Linked DNA regions of Neurospora crassa OR74A. The protein of the gene in region 1 purifies or fractionates together with the protein of each later gene. This does not show direct contact. Links are inferred from orthologs where the notes say so. Each region holds a gene or a part of one and is shown on either strand. Other genes may lie near its edges. The genes, in order: NCU05194 and NCU09552.

Region 1 (4,569 bases):
GTCTCCGTCCCACTCGAGTCCAACGGGGAGCGACGTCGCTTGGATGTCATGATGATCAGCGCCCCTGGGCGTAGCTTCACTGTCTCCTCTTCCATCCATGCTCCTTGCCGGCTTCGAAGGCGAAGCGTGTACACGAGCGTTGTCAACAGCTCCAGCCGAGAAGTCATGGCGGAGGTTGGCCAAATGGCGATGCCATAGCTGAGTGAAGTCCGTATTGCTGTTCATCTTGGACTTTTGACTGACTGAATGCGGGCCCAGATACGATCTTCTCTGACACAAAGCTTTGTTTGGCCGAGTCAGCTGATAGTGTCTTTGTTTCGCTTGTCAAGCCATTCTGATGTCAAGAGACTACTGATCTAACATTGCTGTTGTTTGTGGAGTGGTAGAAGAAGCTGAGACGTCAGGAAGGGGGGTGATGGCAAAGATAGATCAGGTTCGCCGCCACGCTGCCCACCTACATGGCGTTTCAGCCCAGAGATCTGATCGGGGGGAGGGGCAGGCGGATACCAGATTGCAGAAGGTCGTCACGTCAAGCAAGGACATGTGTTCTTGGCCGCGGGTTGATGTGGGTGGTCAAGGGCTGGCATGCTCTCGGCTAAAGCCTATCAGCCCAGATGAAATTGTGGTAACACTGCAGCTTGTATGTCTCGGAGATGTTGGAGTTTGGGACCGAACATGACCGGGACCACTTCTGACTGGTTCGACCTCACTATACTCACCTTCTTGTGTTGTACCTTGTCTGACATACATACATAACTCGGATGTTATAGAGAACCACCACGGACTTGACCTGGCAGCTGGCCGGTTTTAATGGCAAGATACCATGGCAAGCTGGTTGATGGATGTCACCGAAGGCTGAGGAAATTGGACGAGGGCGATTGACAGTTCAGTTTGGCTGATGTGGGAGGGAACACTGCATTCGAGGAACCGAGGGAGCGACGACAATTGTGTGGCACTTGATAAAGAGTGCCGACAGCGGGAAGAGGGCATCAGCTCGAGAAAATTGTGCTTCGTCAATACACACAGAATTGTTCAATGGATGGAAGAAGCATCACCCATTTTGCAACGGCTTGTGAGGAAGGAGCATCTTGCTGGAGGATTTCTCAAATCAAAATGAATGAAAATAGTTGGGAGAGAATTGCAAAAGGTCTCATTCGGCACACGAAAGGCCTGGAATCACTAAAAGACATAGTAGGCAACTTCTACCAGGAGGCTGAATCCTTGGTAGGGCAAGTCGGGTCGTCGTACGAACAAGGCAGAGTCGAATGGCGATGCTTCGTTACAGCAAGTGTATTGCTTTCGGCGATACACCCCAGAGGTTGAATTTCTGTGGCCAAGTGCAGGTGGTATGCAGTTATCCAATCTATATCCCACTAGCGAAGCCATTAAAGAGGGCCCCACTTGTGCGCGCCAGCTTCCTGGTCTTGGCGCGCTTCAGCTTTTCTGGCGCGTGTTTTATCGTGTTTTCTTGACAGGGAGGACTCAGTTCCCCTCCCCTCGTCACAGTTTCCCCTCCTTCCACTCACTAACCAGTCAGTCCTTGGTCCCTTGGGTTCTCATATCTCTACTTGAATCTTGACCTCGACAACTTCCAATCTCCACCAACTCTCCTTGATACCCAGGTGGACCACAGCAACACCATAACACAATGGCAACACCAATGGCACACTCCAGCGATGCTGGCTTCATGATGTCGGACGGAATCGCTTCGCGAGGAGGAGCTACTCCCAGGGCGCGAAACGGTCATCCCAGTTCCTCTTCAGCTCGTCCACGAGGCCCCCCCTCAGAAAGCCTCGGAGCGGCCAGCGAAGACGAGGGCGAGGAAGGGTTCGCTGATGATCAGGTCCCCGTCCGCTCGAGGCCTCGGAACATTGCCGACATCCCCAGGGTTCAGGATAGGATTGGTGTCATGGTCCAGAGAGCCTTTGAGGCCTTCATTGACGGGTATGAAGATCCAAGAAACCAGCCAAACATGTACTACTTGGTGTACTTGCTGACACCGGCGCCAGCTACGTCGAAACACCCACCTCGTCCGGCCAACCAACCTCGAGCGCAGTCACGACAGACAAGTACTACGTCGCCCAGATCCACGGCATGAGGACCTACTCGTTATCCACCTTCTACGTCGACTACAAGCACGTCGCCTCATGGCAAGACGGCACCCTCGCCGAGGCCATCACCAACTCGTACTACCGCTTCCTTCCCTTCCTCACAGCCGCCCTCCATAGCCGAATCGCCGCCCACGAACCCCAATACTTTAACGAACATCGCCAGCCCACGGCATCCAGCGCCCACTCCACGACAGCCGCCAGCACACGAGGCGCCAACGCGAGCCAGTCCGACTTTGGCATCAAGAACCCCAACCAACAAACCGACAAGCTCTTTGCCATTGCCTTCTACAACCTGCCCCTCGTCTCGCGCGTGCGCTCCATGCGCGCCCGCAACGTCGGCCAGCTTCTTGCCATTAGCGGCACCGTCACACGCACCTCCGAGGTCCGGCCCGAGCTGGCTCTGGCCACCTTTGTCTGCCAGGCCTGCTACGCCGTCGTTCCCAATGTCGAGCAGACGTTCCGATACACCGAACCGACGCAGTGTCCCAACTTGACGTGCCAGAACCGCACTTCGTGGCAGCTGGACATCAGGCAGAGCACCTTTGTGGACTGGCAAAAGGTGCGCGTGCAGGAAAACAGTAGCGAGATTCCCACAGGAAGCATGCCCAGGACAATGGATGTGATTTTGCGCGGCGAACTGGTGGATCGCGCCAAGGCCGGCGAAAAGTGTATCTTTACGGGTGCGCTGATCGTGGTGCCGGATGTCAGTCAATTGGGTCTGCCGGGTGTGCGGAACGTGTCGGTGCGTGATGATCGGGGTGCGGATGCCGGTGGCAGTGGTGTTTCTGGTCTCAAGGCCCTGGGTGTGCGCGATCTTACCTACCGTTTGGCGTTCCTGGCTTGCATGGTCACGCCTGATGTGTCGGCAATCGGTGCTTCTGGCGATGCCCTTCTGATGGACATTGTTGGTACCCTCAACAGCAGCGCGGCGGCCGAAACAGCCGAGACCATCAAGGAAGCCCAGGAAGCTCTGCTGAGCTCCTACACCTCTGCCGAGATGGAAGACCTCCGTGCCATGGTGCACAGCGACCACATCTACGCACGCCTTGTCCAGTCCTTGGCACCCACAGTCTACGGTCACGAAGTCGTCAAGAAGGGTATCCTCTTGCAGCTTTTGTCTGGTGTCTCCAAAACCACCGCCGAAGGCATGGCACTCCGTGGCGACATCAACATCTGCATCGTCGGCGACCCCTCGACGTCCAAATCCCAATTTCTCAAGTACGTCGTCAACTTTGCTCCCCGGGCAGTCTACACCTCCGGCAAGGCCTCTTCCGCCGCTGGTCTTACGGCTGCCGTGGTCAAGGATGAAGAAACCGGTGAATTCACCATTGAAGCCGGTGCCCTCATGCTCGCTGACAACGGCATCTGCTGCATCGACGAGTTCGACAAGATGGACATTGCCGATCAGGTTGCCATCCACGAAGCCATGGAACAGCAGACCATTTCCATTGCCAAGGCCGGTATTCAGGCCACGCTTAATGCCAGAACCTCGATTCTAGCAGCTGCCAACCCGGTCGGAGGTCGCTACAACCGCAAGACCACCCTGCGCGCCAACATCAACATGTCGGCGCCCATCATGTCGCGTTTCGATCTGTTCTTCGTCATCCTCGACGAGTGCAACGAGCAGGTCGACCGCCACTTGGCCGAACACATTGTCGGCCTGCACCAAAACCGGGACCAAGCCATCGAGCCCGAGTTTTCCACCGAGCAACTGCAGCGGTACATTCGTTTCGCTCGCACTTTCCGCCCCGAGTTCACCGACGAAGCCAAGGAAGTCCTCGTGCAGCGCTACAAGGACCTGCGCGCCGACGACGCCCAGGGCGGCATCGGCAAGAACAGCTACCGAATCACCGTCAGACAGCTGGAGAGTATGATCCGTCTGTCTGAAGCCATTGCCAAGGCCAACTGCGTCGAGGAAATCACGCCCGATTTTGTTAATGAGGCGTTCCACCTTTTGCGGCAGTCGATCATTTCCGTCGAACACGACGACGTCGAAGTAGACGACGAGGAAGACGCTCCCGAACCACCCGCCGACTCCCCCGAGGCCTTGCAAGCCGCCGCCGCCGCTGCTTCGCGCGTGCCCGAGGCCGATATGGACGGAGATGGCGACGTCGACATGGGTGGTGAAGCTGCCCGACAGCCGTCTGCGGCACCCTCGCAAGCGCATCGCGAGAAGCAGACGATTTCGTACGACAAGTACATTTCCATTGTGAACCTGATCGTCTCCAAGGTGGCCGAAGACGAGACGCAAGGCTCAGGGGAAGGGATCGAAGGCGAGCAGCTGGTGGAGTGGTACCTGGAGCAGAAGGAGGAGGAGATGGCAACGGAAGAGGAGTATCACGAGGAGAGGAGGTTGGTGGGCAAGGTTTTGAAGAGGATGGTCAAGGTATGTTTCTGCCCCCTTTTTCTTCCTGCAGATTGAGCGACTGCTAATGAAATTGAAAAAAAACAGGACAAC
Region 2 (4,585 bases), on another chromosome or scaffold:
AGAACTCGGCCTTGTTGATGAGGTCGATGGTATCTTGGATCGCCTCGGCGGTGTGGCTGCCTGGGAGAATCCAGGTCGAGTCGGGGGTCTCGTCGAGAGTAGGCGTGAGACGCTCCATACCGACTAGACGCATGAGAAGACGGAGGTGCGGGTTCTTGAACATGGCTGTGCGGCGAGCCTCGGTATCAGGGCGGATCGTGATATGTGGTGGTGCTGATTTGTTGGATCTCTCGTCGGCAGCTTCACCATCAGCCGCCCCCTCGGTAGTGGCTGCCATGGCCTTGTCTACGTTCTCCCATGCTTGCCGCTCACTCATTGCACTTGTCAGCTGATCCTTGAGCCACTGCAGATGCTCGACTTGCTGTTTGTCGATGAGTACGCTGACCGCAATGCCAATCTGCTCGTCGCGCTCTGTGGCTCGCTTGAACTCCAGCTCGGCACCAGGTCGTGGCGTAGTTGTGGTGACAGGCTTCTCATAGCCGTGCTCAAGGAAGTGCGTCGTGCTGCCAATCTTGGAAAAGAGCAACTCGGTGAACAACGCAGGCCGCTCTTGAAGCTTTTTGACACATTTCCGAATGATCTGCTTGGAGAGCTCCTCCCATTCCTTGAACATCGGCGAGCTTTTGTCGAGGGGCTCGGGACCTTGGACCATGTTGTAAAAGAGATTGATGATGTCTAGTCGGAATAGCATGATGCTCAGCTCGAGTTTGAAGGCAACGCGGTAGAAGTAGCGATGAGCGCGCTTCAGCTGTGCGTCGTTCAAATCCCGGTAGAATTTGGTGAAGGCGACAAATGTGTCGACAACACCCTGGGGAGCGAATCGAATGGCGAATTTCCCAAACTCGAACTTGCGCTCCTGAGTGACCCGCTCTGCATGTTGCTCATCGTCCCCAGAATCATCGGCATCATTGTCCTCGGGAACGCCAACGTCTTCTGCTTCCTCACCGGCGGCTCTAGCTGCAGCAACAGCAGCAGCAGCTTTGGCAGCCTTCTTCTTTCGGCGAGCTCGCTTCCGTGAGCGCACCTGCAAATCGACATTTTGCTTAGAGTAACCTTCTAAAATGCGGAGGAAAGTGTGGACAAGCTCGGTCGCGGCATCAAGATATTCGAAGCCTTGATCCTTGTATGTTCGAGCAATATTCGCGATAAGGTCGTGGGTTGTCTCCTCGTAAAAGAGACGGCTCAGGGTGTTTTCGGCAATCTCCTGGTCTTCCTCGTTGGGAGACTCTGACATCTCCTGGACTGTGAGGAAGATCTGGGTGTAACAGCGCATGACGGACGTGAGCAGTTGCCAATCCTTATCACTATAGGACCGGTCAAGCGCACGATTCATGGAAGCGAACATTTCCTGTTGGAGCACAGCAGCAACGAGGTTAAAACTGTTCACCTCCTCTCCGGCTGCGGACGTCGACTTCGACTCGTCCCTCTTGGCCTTTCTCCGCATCCGCTCGGCTTCGAGGAACCAGGCGACAAGGTAAAAGAACTGGCTCTTATGCTGGTTCAATGCATGCAATGCCTCCCGATCGATCGATTGCCTCACGTGCAGAAACAAGGGGTTGAAACCGGAGTCGAGGAAGTCTTGGACGAATGATCGCAGCTGCTGACGAGCTCTTTCATCTAGCGTCACCGGAGGGCCAAGGTCCTTGGGCTCCATCTCGGGTTTCCTCGCTCTTCTTGGCGGTCTGAATGTTTTGGAGTTATCCATCTTCCTCTCTCGCGTTTTTGCGTCCAAAAGAGCCTCTTGGCCAGATACCGTCACCATCTTGCCATCTGCTCGTTTCACCCAGATCATGGTCCCAAATCGACTGTGCCGAGTGGTGGTGGTTTTGTTGTAGGATTTTAGCATAGCAGCCTCCTTGCGCATCTCCGATGCCAGCTCTTGCCCCTTGGCTTTGTTGAGTTGCTTTTCACTGACGAAGAGCGAGCTGGGGTCAACTCTTTTTACAAGATGAAAGATGATTTCCATGATAACTACATCTTCGGTGCGGAAGTCCTCGCCCATGTTGGAGGCAAGGGTCAGCAGAGTGAGAAATATGTCTTGATACGAAAAGGCATCAATGGTTGCCGACCTGGATACCTGTGTCTCGTCGCCTTCGCATTTGACACCTTGCGGGGGTGCGATCATGGCAACGTTCCTCAAAAAGAAGAGAATGAGCTTGATGATGGCCTGGTCACGGGGTGTCCGCTCGCCGATAGGCATGGCCATGGAGGGAAGGGCTACCCTGACGGCGGTGTTGAGGATGGGTATCGCATCGAAGTTTATGATGGCGCGCTTGTAGCCAAGCTGGGCAAGCTGCAGAACGGGCATGTGACGATGGTGGTTGATGGTCATTTCGGCGCGCTCCTTCTCTATGGGCCAAGTAAGGGGCACCATGACCTCGAAACACGCCAGAGCAATACGGGCCTTGTACTTGCTGTCGGTTTCGCTTTGAGGCCATAATGTCAGGATCTGGAGCAGATCGCCGCCGACGAGGTTCGCTTCAGCCAGACATCTGGCGACGTCCATGCGATTGGTCTTTTCATCGTAGAATCGGATCCATTTCTTCAGGTCGCGCAAGACGTCTAGCGCTTCGTCACCGAGCTTGTAGCTTCCATCATCGTCCGCGCTGTAACCACCGAGCTATTCGGGTCGCCAGAGTCAGTACATCCGTGTATATAACGAGTCCAGAAGTGGACATACCGCAGAAACCAGGTTGGTGATGTGCGCCCGCACTTCCGGATGGACGACATCGTCGTTGATGTCTGCGGCCTCCATTTTGCGCAGAAATCACGGCGTCCAAGACCAGAACGGAGTCATACGAGTACTAGACAGACTCTCCCCAACTCTCAGCTTGTCTTGGAGGTCGTTTTGTTATCGCATGGATGGTGGCATTGGTCGGGCGCACTTTGTCGGGACGGGACACGCGTTTGTGGTGGTGGGAGACGCGCCGACCGTGTCGTACTTTTTAATGGAAATTGGTGGTATCTTGGTCTTGGCCTGCTTATCTCCCCAAGCGTTTTGTCGGACTGTTTTAAGATACCTGGGTAAGTAGGTACCTAATGTACCTAGCTACCTACTAGAGATACCTCTGCAGCAGTACCTGTGCACCCCGATTTCGACCTCGTGGAGAGCTGCGGAGTTACCCCTGTGGACGGGCAATCAACGACAGCCGAGGATCTTGAGTTGGCGCGGGAATCATGCCCGCAATTGCCCCCCCTGAACGACATGCTTGTACCTCTAGGTAGCGTACATAGTACTCCATACGCGCTAAAACCGACCCCATTTTCCCCGCCTAAGAAAAGGCTAGAGCCGCCCGTAGCTCCTGTACGGCAGTATGTTATGTCCCCCCCGTGGCCCGGGTCGGGCTTGTGACGTCGAGTTGGAGACGAGGACGGCCGAGGTTAACCGAATCCGACAACTTCACATCGTCGCATTCGCATTCTCTAGAGGTGCCCTGGTTGCCTACCTAGGTGTAGTCTTCCGATTTTTCTGTCCCTTTCCTTTCAGTCTCTCTCAGTCACAGTGTCTGCTTTGTTTACTTTCGCCGTGACGATCTCGCAAAATGCTTGCTAGAACCCTCGTCCAGAAGCTGCCCATGGGCGCTCGCGCCTTCAGCTCGACATGCGCCCGCAACGCTGCCGAGGTCAAGAGGCTCGGTGTCGTTGGCGCCGGCCAGATGGTGAGTCCGGCCCATATCATTCATGCCCATGTCTTCAACAACGGCAACGGCTGACTTGTCCTCCTTCTCCTTTAGGGCCTGGGCATCGCCCTCGTCGCCGCCACCAAGGCCAGAGTCCCCGTCACCCTTGTGGATGCCTCTGAAACGTCTCTAGACAAGGGCCTTGCATTCGCCGACAAGCTCCTCAGCAAGGATGTGGCCAAGCAACGCATCACTCAGGATGAGGCGGACGCCGCCCGCGCGCTCCTCCAGCCCACCACCATCCTCGAGGACCTGGACAGCGTCGATTTTGTGATTGAAGCTGTGCCTGAGATTCCCAAGCTCAAGTTCGACATCTTCTCCAAGCTGGCCGAGATCTGCCCTAAGCACGCCATCTTAGCCACCAACACCTCTTCCATCTCCATCACGCGCATCGCCGCCTCAACCACCAAGGACCCCAACGACACCTCCAACAGCTCGCGCGTCGTGTCCACGCACTTCATGAACCCCGTGCCCGTTCAGAAGGGAGTCGAGATCATCAGCGGTCTGCAGACCAGTCAGGAGACGCTTGACACGGCCGTCGAGTTTTGCAAGAAGCTGGGCAAGATCCCTTCCATCTCCAAGGACAGCCCGGGATTCTTGGCTAACCGCATCTTGATGCCTTACATCAATGAGGCCATTATCTGCCTGGAGACTGGCGTTGGCGACCGTGACTCTATCGATGCTATTATGAAGAACGGCACCAACGTGCCTATGGGCCCCCTCCAGCTGGCTGACTTTATCGGTCTCGATACCTGTTTGGCTATTATGAAAGTATTGTACGAGGAGACGAGCGATTCCAAGTATAGGCCGAGCGTGCACTTGCGCAACATGGTCGATGCTGGCTGGTTGGGCAAGAAGAGTGGCAAGGGCTTCTATGACTACCAATAGATGTCTGACGAGAATAT

What was found.
Region 2: the proteins of NCU05194 (region 1) and NCU09552 purify together in Saccharomyces cerevisiae (affinity purification with mass spectrometry; 3 studies listed by BioGRID, with this or other methods). This does not show direct contact. The link is inferred for Neurospora crassa OR74A from reciprocal best matches to the Saccharomyces cerevisiae genes MCM6 and TOF1.

What each region holds. Positions count from the first base shown.
Region 1 is NC_026504.1:5,796,690-5,801,258, reverse strand, and holds the start of NCU05194 (DNA replication licensing factor mcm6), read left to right. Parts: upstream 1-1,462; 5' UTR 1,463-1,648; coding exon 1,649-1,944; intron 1,945-2,009; coding exon 2,010-4,497; intron 4,498-4,563; coding exon 4,564-4,569. Other genes in the region: NCU05193 (hypothetical protein), read right to left, coding at 1-225. UniProt on the Saccharomyces cerevisiae protein: Acts as a component of the MCM2-7 complex (MCM complex) which is the putative replicative helicase essential for 'once per cell cycle' DNA replication initiation and elongation in eukaryotic cells.
Region 2 is NC_026505.1:4,564,028-4,568,612, forward strand, and holds the start of NCU09552 (topoisomerase 1-associated factor 1), read right to left. Parts: upstream 2,925-4,585; 5' UTR 2,756-2,924; coding exon 2,681-2,755; intron 2,621-2,680; coding exon 1-2,620. Other genes in the region: NCU09553 (3-hydroxybutyryl CoA dehydrogenase), read left to right, coding at 3,543-3,659, 3,735-4,568. UniProt on the Saccharomyces cerevisiae protein: Forms a fork protection complex (FPC) with CSM3 and which is required for chromosome segregation during meiosis and DNA damage repair. FPC coordinates leading and lagging strand synthesis and moves with the replication fork.